2 linked regions of the Oryzias latipes genome follow. The protein of the gene in region 1 interacts with the protein of each later gene in a pairwise test. Links are inferred from orthologs where the notes say so. Each region holds a gene or a part of one and is shown in the gene's direction. Other genes may lie near its edges.

Region 1 (3,653 bases):
CCTTCATACTTTTCATCCTAATTCCATTACAAAGCAGCGTTCAATAAGACACAGAAATAGATTGCAGTCTGTATTCCCAAGGTGGCCTATAACAACATGCATTCATCATTGCTCTCACATTAATGTGTAACACATTTGACTACATTCCAGACTCTAAATGACATGCACATGTGCGGTAGAAATATCTTAATGGAGTCACTCGAAATTCAGTCAACTTTGATTTCTGATCAAAAAGTCTGGACTTGAATAGATTCATCGGTAAACAAATCCTTTGGCCATATAATGTACATTGATATGGTTTTTGTGGCAGTTTAAAAGTTCATGGTGTATCCCACTTGGGTTTGGTTTTAGTAAATCTTACCCGGTAACACATGTGGGATTAAAGTTCTTTCTGAAGTGCATGTCTAATGGTTGGGTAGCGATGCATATTTCTGGCTCTTTTACTCTTCAACACTGGGTAGCGGGAGGCTGTATGTTTTTGATTCAAAACTAAATCTGTCTTTCACACTAACTTCATAGCAGTGGATCAGCTGTGCTGAGGTTGAAAGAAGAGTTCAAGCATAGTATGTCCTTCCACCATTTGTTCACATTTAACTGGAGATGCTGTAACAGGATACAAACTCATAATTCTGAATGTCTTTTTCAAAGGACTTTTGTTAAAGTCCACCCACATATTAAAAAAAAAAAACACAGTGAGACATTTTAGAAATTAGCGAAAAAATCAAATGAATTGATATCTGAAAAACAAATAAGCCTTTTTTTCTTGGTAGTTTGTGTTTGTGGTTGCAGGCACGTGTAGAGACTGCAGTAGAAACAGGGTTACTTTTGTAGGATCTAATTGCCTCGCCCAAAAAAAAAAAAAGGAAAGAAAAAGGGATTGAAGGTGCACCTGCTTTGCTTGCCTCTGCAGGACCCATCATGTGCAAACAAATGCTGCTATATAATTTGATTCCAGAAGCTTCAGATCCCTCAGCTCTCCTTTTGTTTCAGTTTTCTAGCCTCAGGTTGGAAATGCTGTGCTTTGCCATAGCTTACATAGAAATGAGCTGTCAAGCAGTTCAGGTTAAAAGGGTGATGCAGGACAGTCAGGCCTGTGCTAACTTGCCGGCAGGTGTGAAAGGTGAAGATGATTCATTTTTACTGTTAGGTGAATTGTATTATTTTTGTTATTATTAAGAATAATTATTTTTTAACATTTGGGCAATTTGATTGTTTTCATACATAGCCTTTCCCAGAGTCTCCTTAGCAATAATATAACTAAACTGAATTACATTTATTTAATCAATTTATTTTCATAGCACAATGCTATTCTATTTATAAAATTCTCAGATGAGCTTAAAAAAAAGGTAATTTTATGAAAATGCAACAGAAAAATGCTGTTGCTGTAAATTTCTTTAAAGTCAACGTTAAGAATTGAAATGATTTTCGTAATGAATGCCATAACATTCCTTAGTTGAAACGACTAGATCTGTGAAAACTCTTTCAAAATCAAAATTCCAAATAAATCAGAGATTCAATGAATTAAATCAAATCAAATCAAATGATGACCCTTTAAACCTCTAATGAAAGTAGAAATCATTAGAGAAATGATAGAATAACAATAGTTTTCAAACATATCATCAGAAATGGAAAGGTTTTGATCGGGGGAGCAGGAACATGAATTCTTGCAATAAAATCCAGGCTTTGTCAAACTGCTGTCTGACTCCTTTTGTGTTTCCAAGCTGGAAACTGGAAAACATTCAGCACTAAGACCTACATGTGCAGCTATCGTTTCTGCAAAACTAAATCTCTGATGATGCCGAGAGGATTACTGCGGCTGCAGTTTCTGCTAGAAAGGGTCGCCAGCAGTGAAACAAATGCCGGTGCGCTCTCCAGACACAGCTTTAGCAATTAATCTTAAGCAGTCTTTCCTCCAACGTCCCATCCAGAACTTCCTCAAATCTCCACAGCCAGGTGTTTCCAGACAACAGAACAATCCACATAAGTCAAATCTTTATTTTTTCTTTGTTGCGCTTCCCTCATGTATTTATAGTTAATTTTATATTTTTTCTGCCTATTATATTTAAACTGTATCTGTAATTCTATCATGTCTCCATTTCTCTACAGGCCACTTATTCCATAAATTTGGCATCTCTGAATCGGACTGGTACCGGATCAAGCAGAGCATTGATTCAAAATGTCGCACTGCTTGGAGACGTAAGCAGCGTGGTCAGAGTTTGGCGGTCAAGAGCTTCTCCAAACGCACGCCTCGTAATTCGGCTGCAGGTAAAAGAGATTATTAGGAAACTTTAGCATGAATATCCTAGAAAACGGTCTTTGACAGTTTGTTAGACCAACTAAAGTGTGTAAAGGGGAATTTAATTTGACTTTTTTTTTAAATCTTAAGGTTTTACGTACAGCTAAATAACATCATTTTTAGTATGGATATTAAAAAAAAAAATACCACCCGACATGTTACTTGGTCTAAAATCATCTTACAAAAACATTATAAAATGTAGTTTTTTTTTGTCATCCAACGACACACCACTAGGTTCAGCATCACCGTAGATCCTGTCGAAACCTCCTTTTCCTTTTGCAGCTAAGAAAAGCCACCTTTTCCCTACAAAAAGAAGTCATTTCTTTCCAGACCGCCCAAGTTGGGAACCTTTTTTCTTCTTACAACCAGTTCTTTTAGGCAGGAAGTGAGCTTTTGTCTTACCTCATCTGCTATATGAAAGCAATTTCTGAATCCTAACCTAAGTGCAGTCTGTTACAGCCTGGATGAGTGCAGATGTTTGTAATCTACACACAATGCTCTCTGTCCTTCCCTCCCAGTGAGGTGTCACCTTTCACCTCTGATCACGGAAATGAAGAAACTCGCAAATCCTGTGAACACACACACACACACAATGGGGTGCATTTGTCAGGTCTTTTCATTCCACAAATGTTAGTTCACATGGTGCATCTATCAACGTGTCAATCACACACGTGCATTCTGTATTCAGTGAAGTAGAATGTTAATATCGCATTAAGAGGCACTCCTTATGCTTTCCAAACCCCTATTTATTAGCAAACTGTCAGGTTGAGTCTACATGAACCACCTGGCACATCCTTCATTATCTGGTAAATGAAAGTCCTAATAGTTATTTACATAATATGGTACACAGCTGTAACAATGAAAGATGAGAGAAAGTCTTACTTTGAAAATCAACATCTGATGAATGTTCTTTATTACTCGGAAACAAAGTCTGCATTCTGCTGTCTCGCTCAAAGTTGTCTGTTTACTTCTTTTTGGGATTTGAAACAAATCTGTCCAAAAAGCCTTCCTAAGGTTTTTTGTTTTTTTTGGGTATTGAAATCCTAAAAGCAAACATTTGAAATTGTGCTTATGTGTTTGAGGATAATATCTTCTTTGTGGGTTTTCAGGCATGGGGTGATGAGAGGCCTCTGCAAACTTGGTTAGTGGGTTGGCGCACAAAGCGCAGAAATTTAGCTGAGCTGCTTCACGTTAGGTGTGATGGCACGAATGTTTTCATTTTCTTTGTGCACATTTTCCCCCCTTTTATTTAATTTTTTTTTTTTTTACAAAGACTACAGTTCCCAATTTAATGTAACAATTAAATGCAACAATGACTGTTTTGTTTTTGTGCAGATGAAAGCCTCTCAGAGGAAAC
Region 2 (4,120 bases), on another chromosome or scaffold:
AGGGGTAAAAATAAAAGCAAGAATGGTCGATCTGATATTGTCTCGATGTACGTCACGTTTCCCAGCATGCTTAGCGGCCAATCATTGGTCTTGACAAACAGAAATGTGAAGGTATCTGCTGTAAATCTATGACGTAAATTAATAACAGGATAAATGATCGGCTAGTTAGTTAGCATGTAGCCTAATAGCCTTCGAATGTAAAGCGACTGACTGCTAAAGTTAATCAAATACAAGTCCTGAATATTATTATTCCTATTCGACCCTAAACTACAATATCAGCTGTCTGTCTGTCAACCGACCAGCCAGTTGCCCAAATGCCGGCATACGTCAAAGAGCTCTGCGGCGGCGCTAGTAGTAGCCTAGCAGGAGCTATCGTATGACAAAGCAGCCTAGTTATCATAAATCTTTTGATATTTTTCTTATATTCATTGAGACAGTAATAAAGTGATCATTTTTGTTTTTCATGTTCCTTTTTTGAACGAATGTGGGTCACAGAGACACGGAAGTTCCCGCTGAAAGTGGCTTTTGCCGGCGTACAGATAGCATATCCGCGTGAATGACTTATGACGTGAATAATTATTGCGTTCGAACGGATTAATTATTGCGTTCGAACGAAATAATTATTGCGTTCGCACGAGTTAATCATTTATTGCGTTCGAACGAAATAATTATTGCATTCGCACGAGTTTATCATTTTGAGGGAACGGAATAGTATCTTGTGGGAACGGAATAGGATTTCGTGCGAACGAGATAATAATCTGTGGGAACAAGATATTAATCCGTGGGAACAAGATACATTTTAATATCTTAATGTCAGGATACGGGCTCCATAGAATTGAGATGAGTGAGAAGATCCTTTTTTTATTCCAACATACACATCTCAACGAAGGTCACCCAAATCTAAACTTGGTTAACGCTACAGAAAGTAAATGAAATTAAACTCAAAAGAAAACAACTTAAGAATGTCAAATAAATAAACAAATCCCATAAAGAAAATATTAATACACCGTACATTGCCTTAGAACAGACTAAAAACGGTAAAAAATCAATTGAAGTTGAATTTCACTTGAACGCAGAACATATAAACGTGGTGATCTTTACTCAATTTATTCTCAACTATGTTTCTGTTTTTCTTCACGTTTCCTTTATTTTACCGTTTCTCTCTGCTACCTTCCGGCACTCTTCGTCCTCCTCTTCCTCGGTGGGCGGGGCTCTGATCCAGGCTCGGCCCACAGGGGGCGTGGTTCAGCGCTGTGACGGGGTTCGGAGCTCCGTCTGCGGGCTCGCCTGTCAGCGGCTCCGGCTGCCTCCGCCTCGGTGCTCCCCTCAGCATGGATGTGGGCTCGGTGCTCCGCGGCCTCCTGCTGCTCCTCTCCGCCTCCTGGCTGCACGCGGCGTCCCGCAGAGGACCGAGGGTCACGGAGAAGGTGGGTGACGTGACGGCAGGAGCACCGCATCGTTTCATGCACGCGCCTCTCCGTCGGTGATGCAGCAGCTGCGGGCTTCTTGACGCGCGTGCAATGCTCTATCGTGGTTGCGTGAGTGCGCGTGACTGTGCAGACGCTTGTGTCTGCCCGCGTGTGCGCAGATTTGTTCCAGAATGTGAGCATGTAGGACAGCCCACACGAGCACGCTCACGCGCGTAAACACACAGCTGTACACGTGGCCTTTAGAAAGGATATTCACGCGGGCCGTGCACGCGCGCTTGCTGCCTCAGTTTGACCTCAATTTATTTCAAGTTTTTTTTTTTTTCTTTTAAATGTTCAGTCAGATCAACTCAACAATAGAAACCAACAGAAAACAGATTTTATTCAGGAAAACTGCTCATTTTTCATGCCTGTTTGGTCAATATAATACTCCAACTGGATCAATCTACAGACAATAACACTCACTTCAGAAGATCTCAGTTGGTCCAGACTTTCATAGAACAAAGCTTGTCCATGCTGGCAGGAAAACATCTCATGGTTGGTTATTCCACTAAAGGCCACTACGTACATTTTGCGCATATTGCACAGATTAAAAATGGTCAAATGTGAATATAGGTGGAGAAAGTGAGTAAAGTTGAGGTGAAATCTTAAGAGATGTACACGAATAAACCACGTTAAAACCACTGACGAAGTACGAATAAACCATGCAAAGAACATGTACGCACATTTATGATGAAAGCAAGAAACGCTAATGAATTACGCACATTTTTGCCTGTACTGTTTGTAAATAGTTTTTAAATTATACCACCTTATTTTTCTACAATTATTTTGTTTTTATATTATTCTATTTTCTTTTATGATTACAATTCTGCTTCTGTAACGCACAAATATCAGACGTGTGGAATCAATAAAGTACTTCTGATTCTGATTCTGATATCCCGCATGTATCATGAAAGACCGAACTGTTACAGAACTGTCCATTGTGGCTGTGGGACGGCCTTTAGCAGCTGTTACTTGGATCTGGTGACTGAGGTCCTAAAAGGACCATGAACTCCTTGTAAGGAGACCAGCTGTCAGATGGAACCTCCTCCTGCTCGAAGGAGCCATCAGAAGACAGTGGTCAGGAGGGGACAGATATGGTCAGCAACAACCCTGACCTGTTTCCACATTGCTGCCTCCAAAACTCTGAACCACAAACCTGACTTGCCTCAGGTTCTTTGGTTTCATAGCCTCAGACATGGCTTCTGATTGTCACCTCTTTCCTACCTCAAATGAACCAGCGTTTACCTGGTTTAACCCTTTCATTCTGGAAGTGTTGCCGATGACATCTGAATAACTCTCACTCTTTGACAGATGGTAACTCTGACGCCATCAACATGAATCAGCGGATTCAGAAGCGAAGGAAAACAGTTTTGCATAACGGCAGATTCTGCGCTTCATTGTGGAAACGATTAATATTACTGCACTCGAAAAAATGTTAAACTGGAAATCAAGCTTCCAAAACATCCGTCCGGTCAGGGAATTCCATTAAGAGACCAAATTTGAAAGAGTCAGTCCAAAAAAAAAAAAAAGAGTGAGGCCCTAGTCTGAACACTTAAACCAGCAATTTAGTAAAGACCAGTTGGGAGCAAACTAAGTACCAAACTAGAACCAGGAAACCAAATATCTTCCAGGAGTAGCCCCACCTTTGTTAAAAAGAAAAAAGTTCAAACAGCCCAGGGTGTTGACATCGGGAGTTGTTGGAGACTGACTATTATCAGCTTAGCAGACAAAATGGTGATGGGAAATTGGGTTCATTTATTAGTAAAAGACAGTATGGTCCCATAGACAACAACCCCTGATGAAAATGTCAGGATTTGATATTATAAGTACAGCAGTACAGTATAATTAAAGCAGAATACGGTATTACTGTAAGCATGAAAAACAGGTACATTGATTGTCTACTGAACTTTCTTTCCAGCAATGCCTCGAGCAGTGGCCGGCAGCAGTCTGAATTTAGCACAACAACATCATCAGACCAACAAGTCCCCTGCAGAACATAGGAAAATACAACTAGCTCCAAACTCAGGCAATCACACATACATCTTGGGATTGCATAAGGTACAATACAGTACAGAACCGTATATCCTCCAGTAGTAGCCCAGGTGTTTATTTAAAACATTCCGGCATTTAAATATGGTCTATGGAGCCTGGTGTTTATTTGTCACGAACGCCTATTCAAACATGATGTTTATTGGAAATACAGTATTCATTGAAGAAGCGGTGGAATAGAGACTGTGGCCTTAAGATGAAAATCACGTGGCAAGAAGAGTGTGCAAGAGCCTATCCCCACGCCATCCCCCTCCCCCCTGAACCACTGAAGACGACCTTCGGTCATGCTGATAGATTCAAATCTGTCCAAATGTAAAAGAAGAAATGAGTTTATTATGACAGAGAAACCCTTTTCAGTTCCATGTTCAGTGTCCATAAGTCTGAGTTTTGGATTGCAGATCTTTGCTTACCTTCACCTGCAGGAACTTCTCTGACTGTCTATCCGCTTACGAGGGTTTCTGCTGTCTGTAATCCAAGTATAAGCAAGTATTAATCCTGCTTTCCCCTCATAATATTCTGGTATGTGCAACCTTCTTACCTGTGATGGATTTTGGGGATGTTTTGTACAAGAACGTCTCTATAACAATTAGGGATGGGCAATA

The links.
Region 2: the proteins of banp (region 1) and ppic interact in binary tests that used the Homo sapiens proteins (3 or more experiments, as listed by UniProt). The two-hybrid records come from large-scale screens. The link is inferred for Oryzias latipes from reciprocal best matches to the Homo sapiens genes BANP and PPIC.

The regions. Positions count from the first base shown.
Region 1 is NC_019864.2:22,003,264-22,006,916, reverse strand, and holds part of banp (protein BANP), read left to right. Parts: intron 1-2,106; coding exon 2,107-2,265; intron 2,266-3,631; coding exon 3,632-3,653. UniProt on the Homo sapiens protein: Controls V(D)J recombination during T-cell development by repressing T-cell receptor (TCR) beta enhancer function. Binds to scaffold/matrix attachment region beta (S/MARbeta), an ATC-rich DNA sequence located upstream of the TCR beta enhancer.
Region 2 is NC_019867.2:29,491,236-29,495,355, forward strand, and holds the start of ppic (peptidyl-prolyl cis-trans isomerase C), read left to right. Parts: upstream 1-1,217; 5' UTR 1,218-1,331; coding exon 1,332-1,427; intron 1,428-4,120. UniProt on the Homo sapiens protein: PPIase that catalyzes the cis-trans isomerization of proline imidic peptide bonds in oligopeptides and may therefore assist protein folding.